3 linked regions of the Kluyveromyces lactis genome follow. The protein of the gene in region 2 interacts with the protein of the main gene of each other region in a pairwise test. Links are inferred from orthologs where the notes say so. Each region holds a gene or a part of one and is shown on either strand. Other genes may lie near its edges. The genes, in order: GIS2, LSM4 and XRN1.

The links.
Region 1: the proteins of LSM4 (region 2) and GIS2 interact in a protein complementation assay, tested with the Saccharomyces cerevisiae proteins (2 studies listed by BioGRID). The link is inferred for Kluyveromyces lactis from reciprocal best matches to the Saccharomyces cerevisiae genes LSM4 and GIS2.
Region 3: the proteins of LSM4 (region 2) and XRN1 interact in binary tests that used the Saccharomyces cerevisiae proteins (3 or more experiments, as listed by UniProt). The link is inferred for Kluyveromyces lactis from reciprocal best matches to the Saccharomyces cerevisiae genes LSM4 and XRN1.

Annotation. Positions count from the first base shown.
Region 1 is NC_006039.1:252,760-255,072, forward strand, and holds GIS2 (mRNA-binding translational activator GIS2), read right to left. Parts: upstream 1,032-2,313; coding exon 561-1,031; downstream 1-560. Other genes in the region: trifunctional dihydropteroate synthetase/dihydrohydroxymethylpterin pyrophosphokinase/dihydroneopterin aldolase FOL1, read left to right, coding at 1-270; RTC4 (Rtc4p), read right to left, coding at 1,328-2,313. UniProt on the Saccharomyces cerevisiae protein: May act in the sexual differentiation pathway.
Region 2 is NC_006041.1:1,854,982-1,857,542, reverse strand, and holds LSM4 (U6 snRNA complex subunit LSM4), read right to left. Parts: upstream 1,157-2,561; coding exon 605-1,156; downstream 1-604. Other genes in the region: TMN3 (Tmn3p), read left to right, coding at 1-117; SBF complex DNA-binding subunit SWI4, read left to right, coding at 2,220-2,561. UniProt on the Saccharomyces cerevisiae protein: Component of LSm protein complexes, which are involved in RNA processing and may function in a chaperone-like manner. Component of the cytoplasmic LSM1-LSM7 complex which is involved in mRNA degradation by activating the decapping step.
Region 3 is NC_006042.1:2,093,908-2,096,141, forward strand, and holds the end of XRN1 (chromatin-binding exonuclease XRN1), read left to right. Parts: coding exon 1-1,689; downstream 1,690-2,234. Other genes in the region: BUD13 (Bud13p), read right to left, coding at 1,786-2,234. UniProt on the Saccharomyces cerevisiae protein: Multifunctional protein that exhibits several independent functions at different levels of the cellular processes. 5'-3' exonuclease component of the nonsense-mediated mRNA decay (NMD) which is a highly conserved mRNA degradation pathway, an RNA surveillance system whose role is to identify and rid cells of mRNA with premature termination codons and thus prevents accumulation of potentially harmful truncated proteins.

The sequences.
Region 1 (2,313 bases), on a different chromosome or scaffold from region 2:
TTAATAAAAGGTATTCCTCTACTACGGAACTATTCTTGTATCATTGGTAATGAGTACTATTCTTTAATAAATCTTCCTGTGTTGGTTGGACCATCTAGAAAGAAGTTCATTGGAGATATAACAAAGACTCCTAGTGCCAAAGATAGAGATTTCGCAACAGGAGCGATAGTGTCCGCTTGCGTAGCAAACGGATGCGACATAATCAGGGTACATGATGTTGCTAATATTAGCAAGGCATTGAAACTCTTAAATGAACTTTATAGAAACTAGGATATGATGTGATTAAGACAATATATTTTAATGTATTTACTTTTAGCTGTTAGATTAACCTTCGCTCTGCCATCACATAATGACATCTAAATTGCTGCACTGAACTACCACATTGAAAGAGATATTGTAGAATATCATTGCTTGACGATGAATAAGCAAAAGAGAAGCAACAGAAACAAGAAAAATAATTGGGATCATACCAAACAATGAATCCGTTATCCCAAGATACAAACTTATCGTGATAAGGATTAAAATTGAAATGATAAATTCACTAGAACTTACGAGCACAATTAATAGGAAGAGCAATCCTTGGCGATGTGACCGACGCCGTTGCAGTTGTAGCAAACTTTCTCGTTTTCACCGTTTTGACAGTCTTTGGACAAATGGCCAGCTTGACCACAGTTGTAACAAGTTGGTTCAGACTTTAAACAGTCCTTAGCAATGTGGTTAGGGCCACCGCACTTGTAACAAGAAACCTTAGGACCACTACGCTCGTTGTTTCTGAATCTCTTTGGTTGATCACATTCTCTAGAGATGTGACCAAAGCCATCACAGTTGTAACATTTTTGAACGGTACATTCAGTCTTAACATGACCAGTTTCGCCACAGTTATAACACTGCTTGAATTCGACAGTCTTTGGGACAGTACATTCTGATTGGACGTGGCCTGGCTTGTTACAGTTGTAACATAGCTTTTCAGAATCACAATCACTAGCCAAATGGCCCAACTTCCCGCAAATATAACACGCCTTACCTGACATTTTCCTCACACTCTTTAGTCTTCCCGGAGTGTTTCTGTTAAAACCACCATTTTTTCAGAATACAGAGTGTTGGAATATAGCACGCTTGTTTTAAAGGTAATCTTGGAATCATAGAAGAGGATAGGCGCAAAGGTCTCCCATCGCAGAGGAAGCGTTTGTTAGAATTTGAAAATTTTCCAGTCGTGTTAAATGATTTGATGGGATTTTCAGATAGATCTTAAGGTCTTCATTATAGAACAGTCCATGGGACTGGCTAGAATGGAATGCAGACCAGTTGCGTAATAGTACTGGGTCTATTATCCTACGTTCGAATCTTGTTTCCTTCTCGGATCATCCCTGTAGCTCATTGAAGAGTATTGTTGTGGTAGTCTTAGTCTCCTTAAAGACTCTTCCTCGCATTCAATTTCGTAAACTTCTAAAGGACTCAAGTCTGCGACCATTGTTCCAAACTCGATAGTTGTCTGCATAATATCCCACGCATCTTCGATGTTGTTTAATTTGAAGTCATCCATGCACAAGTAGCTTAAGACTTCCGGGGCTAAGATATATTGTGAAAAGTCGTAAGGGCCCCAGAATGAAATCACAGGATTCTTATTTCTTTTCAACTTTTCACCATAAGTCTCGAGGATAAGCATTCCAACGATAGCCTGTCGTCTGGATCCGAAGTACCCAGCGGTGAATTTCAAGATATTTAGATCTCGTAGTTCTTCGTTTGTAATCACTTGACGTTTTGAGTTTTTCTGAACCGTTTTCGCCATTGAATAATACAACGATGAGACCTTTCCGGTCAGTATCGCATCACAAACAGAAATATGCTCTCTAGTACGAGATTCCAGCTGGTCAAGAAACAATACTGGCGGAAGATCATATTTAGTCATGAATTTTTGCCTTACGGCGTTTGATTTCAAGTATGTGCTTTTCTCAGTATTCTTCGGCAACACAAGGGAAGCCGAGCTCTTTTTAAACTCTGATACACCCTCCGCATTCAAACCGATGCTATACATCTTAATGAGTTCCATTGACATTTCTTCTACGTCGTTCTCATCAAAAAAATCTCGTGAACTGCCCGGCAGTTCATGGACACTCTCATCATCAGTCAATTCAAGCATGTCAGCACCCTTGTTTCTCTCGTTCAGCGAGTCTAAATCTGATTCAACGTCACTGAATTGTGTTTCCAGGTCAATTGACTTGGGATCTTGGAGTTCTGTACTTTTCTTTTCCTCCTCTTTGGCAGAAACATCAAATTCCGAATCTGATAACTCCTCCAAACTGCCGGAGCGTA
Region 2 (2,561 bases):
TTTGTCTGTTATAGTACGTTATTCAACATTCTCTGCTGGACAGCATTTGGATCTTTAAGTTACCTAAGCTCATTGTGGTTCATCGGTAAGCTGAATGAATATAACAAGGCTAAATAAGTTCGCCTCTTATATTTAAAGTGAGGCCAAAAAAAAAAAGTCCGGCTCTCTTCAGGAGTCTCATATTTCTCCTATATAATACTGCATATCTAGCATGGACTTTCTAAACCAAGCATTTTTGTATAGAGTAATTTAAAAAATAACAACATTTGATCTTTTCCACGGTACCCATGCTCACATACTCTTAATATATAAAGCACTGATATACTGCTTTGAACTTAAGGTTCACTAACTCTGAATCATAATTAATAGGTAGTTCTTTTAATTTCATAACCCAAATTCAGTTTTAAATCTCAAAAGTGTGAAAGGAGTAACGAGAAAAAGGTTTAGGATATCGCATCGAATGCAATCGAAACAGATGTTTTTATAGACTTTTGACCGTCCAAGCCAACAAAATAGTCTCTTTAACCGCAATAAAAGTGATTGAATATGTAACCATGTAGACACACAAATACTTAAGAATTAAATGCTGAGAAAAGAGGTTAAATCAAAATTGTGGAGTTTGATTACTATTGTTTGACGCCTGCGAATACGAAAGCTGTGGATTGGATGATGCATCGTATTGTGATCTATTTTGAATATTATAACGACGAGATCCTGCATTGTTATGGCTGTGAGTATTGTTATTATTATTATTATTATTATTATTGTTGTTGTTGTAATCCCTTCTGTTACCTGAGTTTTGATAGTTTCTTCTACCACCTCTTCTGTTACCATCCCTATTCTGATAATAATTATTGTTATTATTGTAGTTGTTATTTCTTCTTCTATCGTCTTTACCGCCTCTGTTTTGACCCCATTGTTGTTTTACCTTGTCTATGATATCATCTTGCAAATTAACATACTTGATGAAAGAACCTTTCAAATAGAAGCTTGGTAATTTCAAAGTCTCTCCACTAGCTACATGAGTGACATTGGAAAGTGTCAAGTTCATCCAATTGTCTACATCAGATAGCGTACCTTCCACAGTTTCTCCATTTTTTAGTTCAACATGCATTGTTTGACCCTTTGCATTGGTCAATAAATATAATGGAAGCATTTTATGTTATAACTTATTGATCTGTTTTACCAATTATAGTGTGCCCGTGCTGTCGTATTTCTTTAGGTATCTCAAACCGTAGTAACTTAATCGTAGGAAAGGGTGGGGCCGGAACAATATACAATATACCAAAAAATTAGGACTCTGTCTGTCTGGAGAAGGAAAAATGTGAGGGAAAAAAGTATGAATTAGACTTTGTTGCTTATCTGCGTATCTGTAGTTTGAGTTATGTAACACTCCCTAGTAGGACGAACCAAATGCATACAATTGCATTGACAATATTTAAATTCCAATTACAATATAACTTCAGTTTTTCCAAATTTCATTGAGCTGGAAAAAGCATTCTCGACATTTCATAAAATTCATTTACCGGGTAACACTTAAAAGTTTCGAATCACGTGAGTGTCCCGGGTAATACTGACACGTGAATATAATCTGATTATTGATTTTTCTCTTATTTTTTCACTTTTAAGACTGTTTCTGCCCCCCTACTCCTTCGTGTCATACGGACCCTTCTAGGCGTTTTGAAAGGTTGCCTCAGCTTTGAATATGGGAACACACTGGAGTGAGGTTTGAAATGTGAGATCTGAGATTTTTTTTTTGGTGAGGCATCTAATCTTTCTTTTCCCAATTGGGTAAAGAGATTTGATCACAGTTTAAAATAAAGATTATAATCTTTTGAAAGCAGACTTTCTCACGCACTTTACAATGTCATTTATGATTTGTGTATACCTTTGTTATTAACAGTGTCTGTAGGCTACGTGAACTTAGCTAAATATCAGAGCATTCCAGTTGAGATTGATTTGGTCTGCTACTCCGATATCTGGATACATTTTTGGGCACTGGTGGAAAAGCTAGAATAACCGTAACTGCGTGGTATATTTTACGTTGAATTTTACAAAGTGAGCGAGCTTGAGATCACATTGCCAGGAGCAGAAGCAGAAGCAGCAGCAGAAGGTGACACTCGACTCGAAACGCTTTGTTGACTCTGGCGTGCTTTTCTTTGCTTTGTTTTGTCTAAAACAATTAGGATTTCGTGTGCATTTATTTCTTTCGTGTAATTATGGAACAACACTTGTCGCATCATAGCGGCAACGTTTTTGACAAGGAATCTATCCTTCAAATGCACATGGGCACTCATCATCATTCTGAGAATGATACACTTTTGAAACCGTTCAATTCTAATTTATTAGGAGCTAATAGTGGTGCTACCAATAATTCTTCTTCATCCACGGGAGCATCCTCTTCGATGATCGATGAAAGGCAGATCGATGGGAGTTTAAAGAAAATCAGTGAGGAACCTACTATGGCGGAGACAAGTGGTTATGACAGCGAATCGGAAACTTTCATTGAAGTTGCTACATACGCGGGCGTTGATGTATATGAATGTTATACCAAAGATAAA
Region 3 (2,234 bases), on a different chromosome or scaffold from region 2:
TACTATCCTTTACAATTAATCGTAGAGGACGTAAAAAATAAGGACGAAAGATATATTGAAAAAGAGCCGTTACCAATTAATAAAGAATTTCCAAAAGGTTCAAAAGTTGTGTTTTTAGGTGATTATGCGTATGGTGGGGAGGCGACCGTTGATGGTTATAATAGTGAGACTAGATTAAAACTTACAGTCAAAAAGGGTTCTCTCAGAGCAGAGCCTAACATCGGAAAAGTTAGAGCGAAATTGGATTCTCAAGCCTTGAGATTCTACCCAACACAAGTGTTTTCAAAAATAGCTCGTGTCCACCCTCTCTTCTTGTCAAAAATTACTTCAAGATATTTGGTCAATGATTCTAAAAAGAAAAGCCATAACGTCGGTTTGATGATCAAATTCAAAGCAAGAAATCAAAAAGTTCTCGGTTATGCCAGATGCAGCTCAAACAAATGGGAATACTCTGACGTCGCTCTTGGTTTGTTAGAGCAGTTCAGATCTACATTCCCTGAGTTCTTTGCGAAACTTTCTAACTCGAAGGAACAAGCAATTCCATCGATCACTGATCTCTTCCCTAACAAATCTAGCGCGGAAGCTGATTCCATTTTGAAAACAGTGGCTGATTGGCTCTCAGAAGCAAGAAAACCATTCGTGGTGGTGTCTTTGGAAAGTGATTCGCTAACCAAGGCTTCGATGGCAGCTGTTGAATCTGAAATCATAAAATACGTTTCTTTACCAGATTCAAGCGAGCAGAAGAAATTAGCTAAGGTCCCACGTGAGGCAATCTTAAATGCGGAATCGTCATATGTTCTATTGCGCTCCCAAAGGTTCCACTTAGGTGATAGGGTAATGTACATTCAAGATTCAGGCAAGGTTCCACTTCACAGCAAAGGTACTGTCGTTGGCTACACTTCAATTGGCAAGAACGTCTCAATCCAAGTTCTATTTGACAATGAAATAATTGCAGGAAACAACTTTGGTGGTAGGTTGCAGACCAGACGTGGTTTGGGATTGGACTCTTCCTTCTTATTAAACTTGTCTGATAGACAATTGGTATATCATTCAAAGGCATCGAAGAGTGCTGATAAGAAACCAAAAGCAGTTCCTAATGATAAGCAAGTCGCCCTCGCAAAAAAGAAGAGAGTGGAGGAACTCAAAAAAAAGCAAGCCCATGAGTTGTTAAATCATATCAAGAAGGATAACGCGGAATCAAATACCGAATCTGGATCCGCTCCGCAAATAGCAGTTAACACTTTAAATCCTTCGGCTGCTAACAACGTGTTCAATGCCGTCTTGAACCAAATCAAACCAGGTTCTCAACAGCAAATTCAACCACCTCCAGCAAATTCTCTGCCTTACAATTTCACTGTTCCCCCACATATGGTTCCTGGTGGTATTCCTCATCCTCTTATGATGCAGCCGCCTTTCATTCCGAATAATGAGCATATTGCTTATGCAGCTCCTCCTCAGTCACAACCTGTACAAAATCCACCATTAGATAAAGAGGCATCCAGGAATCTTAAGAATCTCCTAATTAGAGATGAGAATGGACGTACAGCAAATGTGGAGAATAAAGACTCAGATGATACAAAGAGATCTTCTCATTCTCGTGGCGGTCGTCGTGGCCGTAGTAATCGTGGTCGTGGTGCCTCCGGGAGGGGTGGTCATTTCAAAAATTCTCCTAAAAAAACTGAAACCTGAATGTTGGTTTGAATGGACTATTAACAGTAAATATTATATCACTTCAGTAAATAATGCTTAGTATATAAGAATAGAGACACTTTCAGGTTCAACTTTTCAAAATTCCCGGTTTGTTGTTTGTTCCTTTATTTTTTGATCAGCGATATCGTGACTCTTAGCAAACCACTTAGTTTCAAACCCATTTGATCTATCAACTCCATCCCATCTATAACCGGGAACGATACCGAACCGATTTTCTGGAAAGTTTTTCTCGTAAAGCCTTCGACCCAACAGTGACGTATTCGTTCCTCGCAGGGTGTTTCCTTGATTCAATGGATCTTCGGTTGATAATAATGCACTTTTCTCAGTTTTGCGATCAAGTTTTGATATTTGTACTTCGCCTATATTTCGTATTTTAAGTTCTTCTTCCTTACGTACTTTCGCTGTCAAATTAGCCTTTTCTCGAAGTTTCAATTCTTCTTCGTATCCATCTATTACCTTACCTTTTTCGTCTCTATATACTGTGTTCTGATTCTTCTTGAGAAGCCCTGATTTTTGCATAGAAA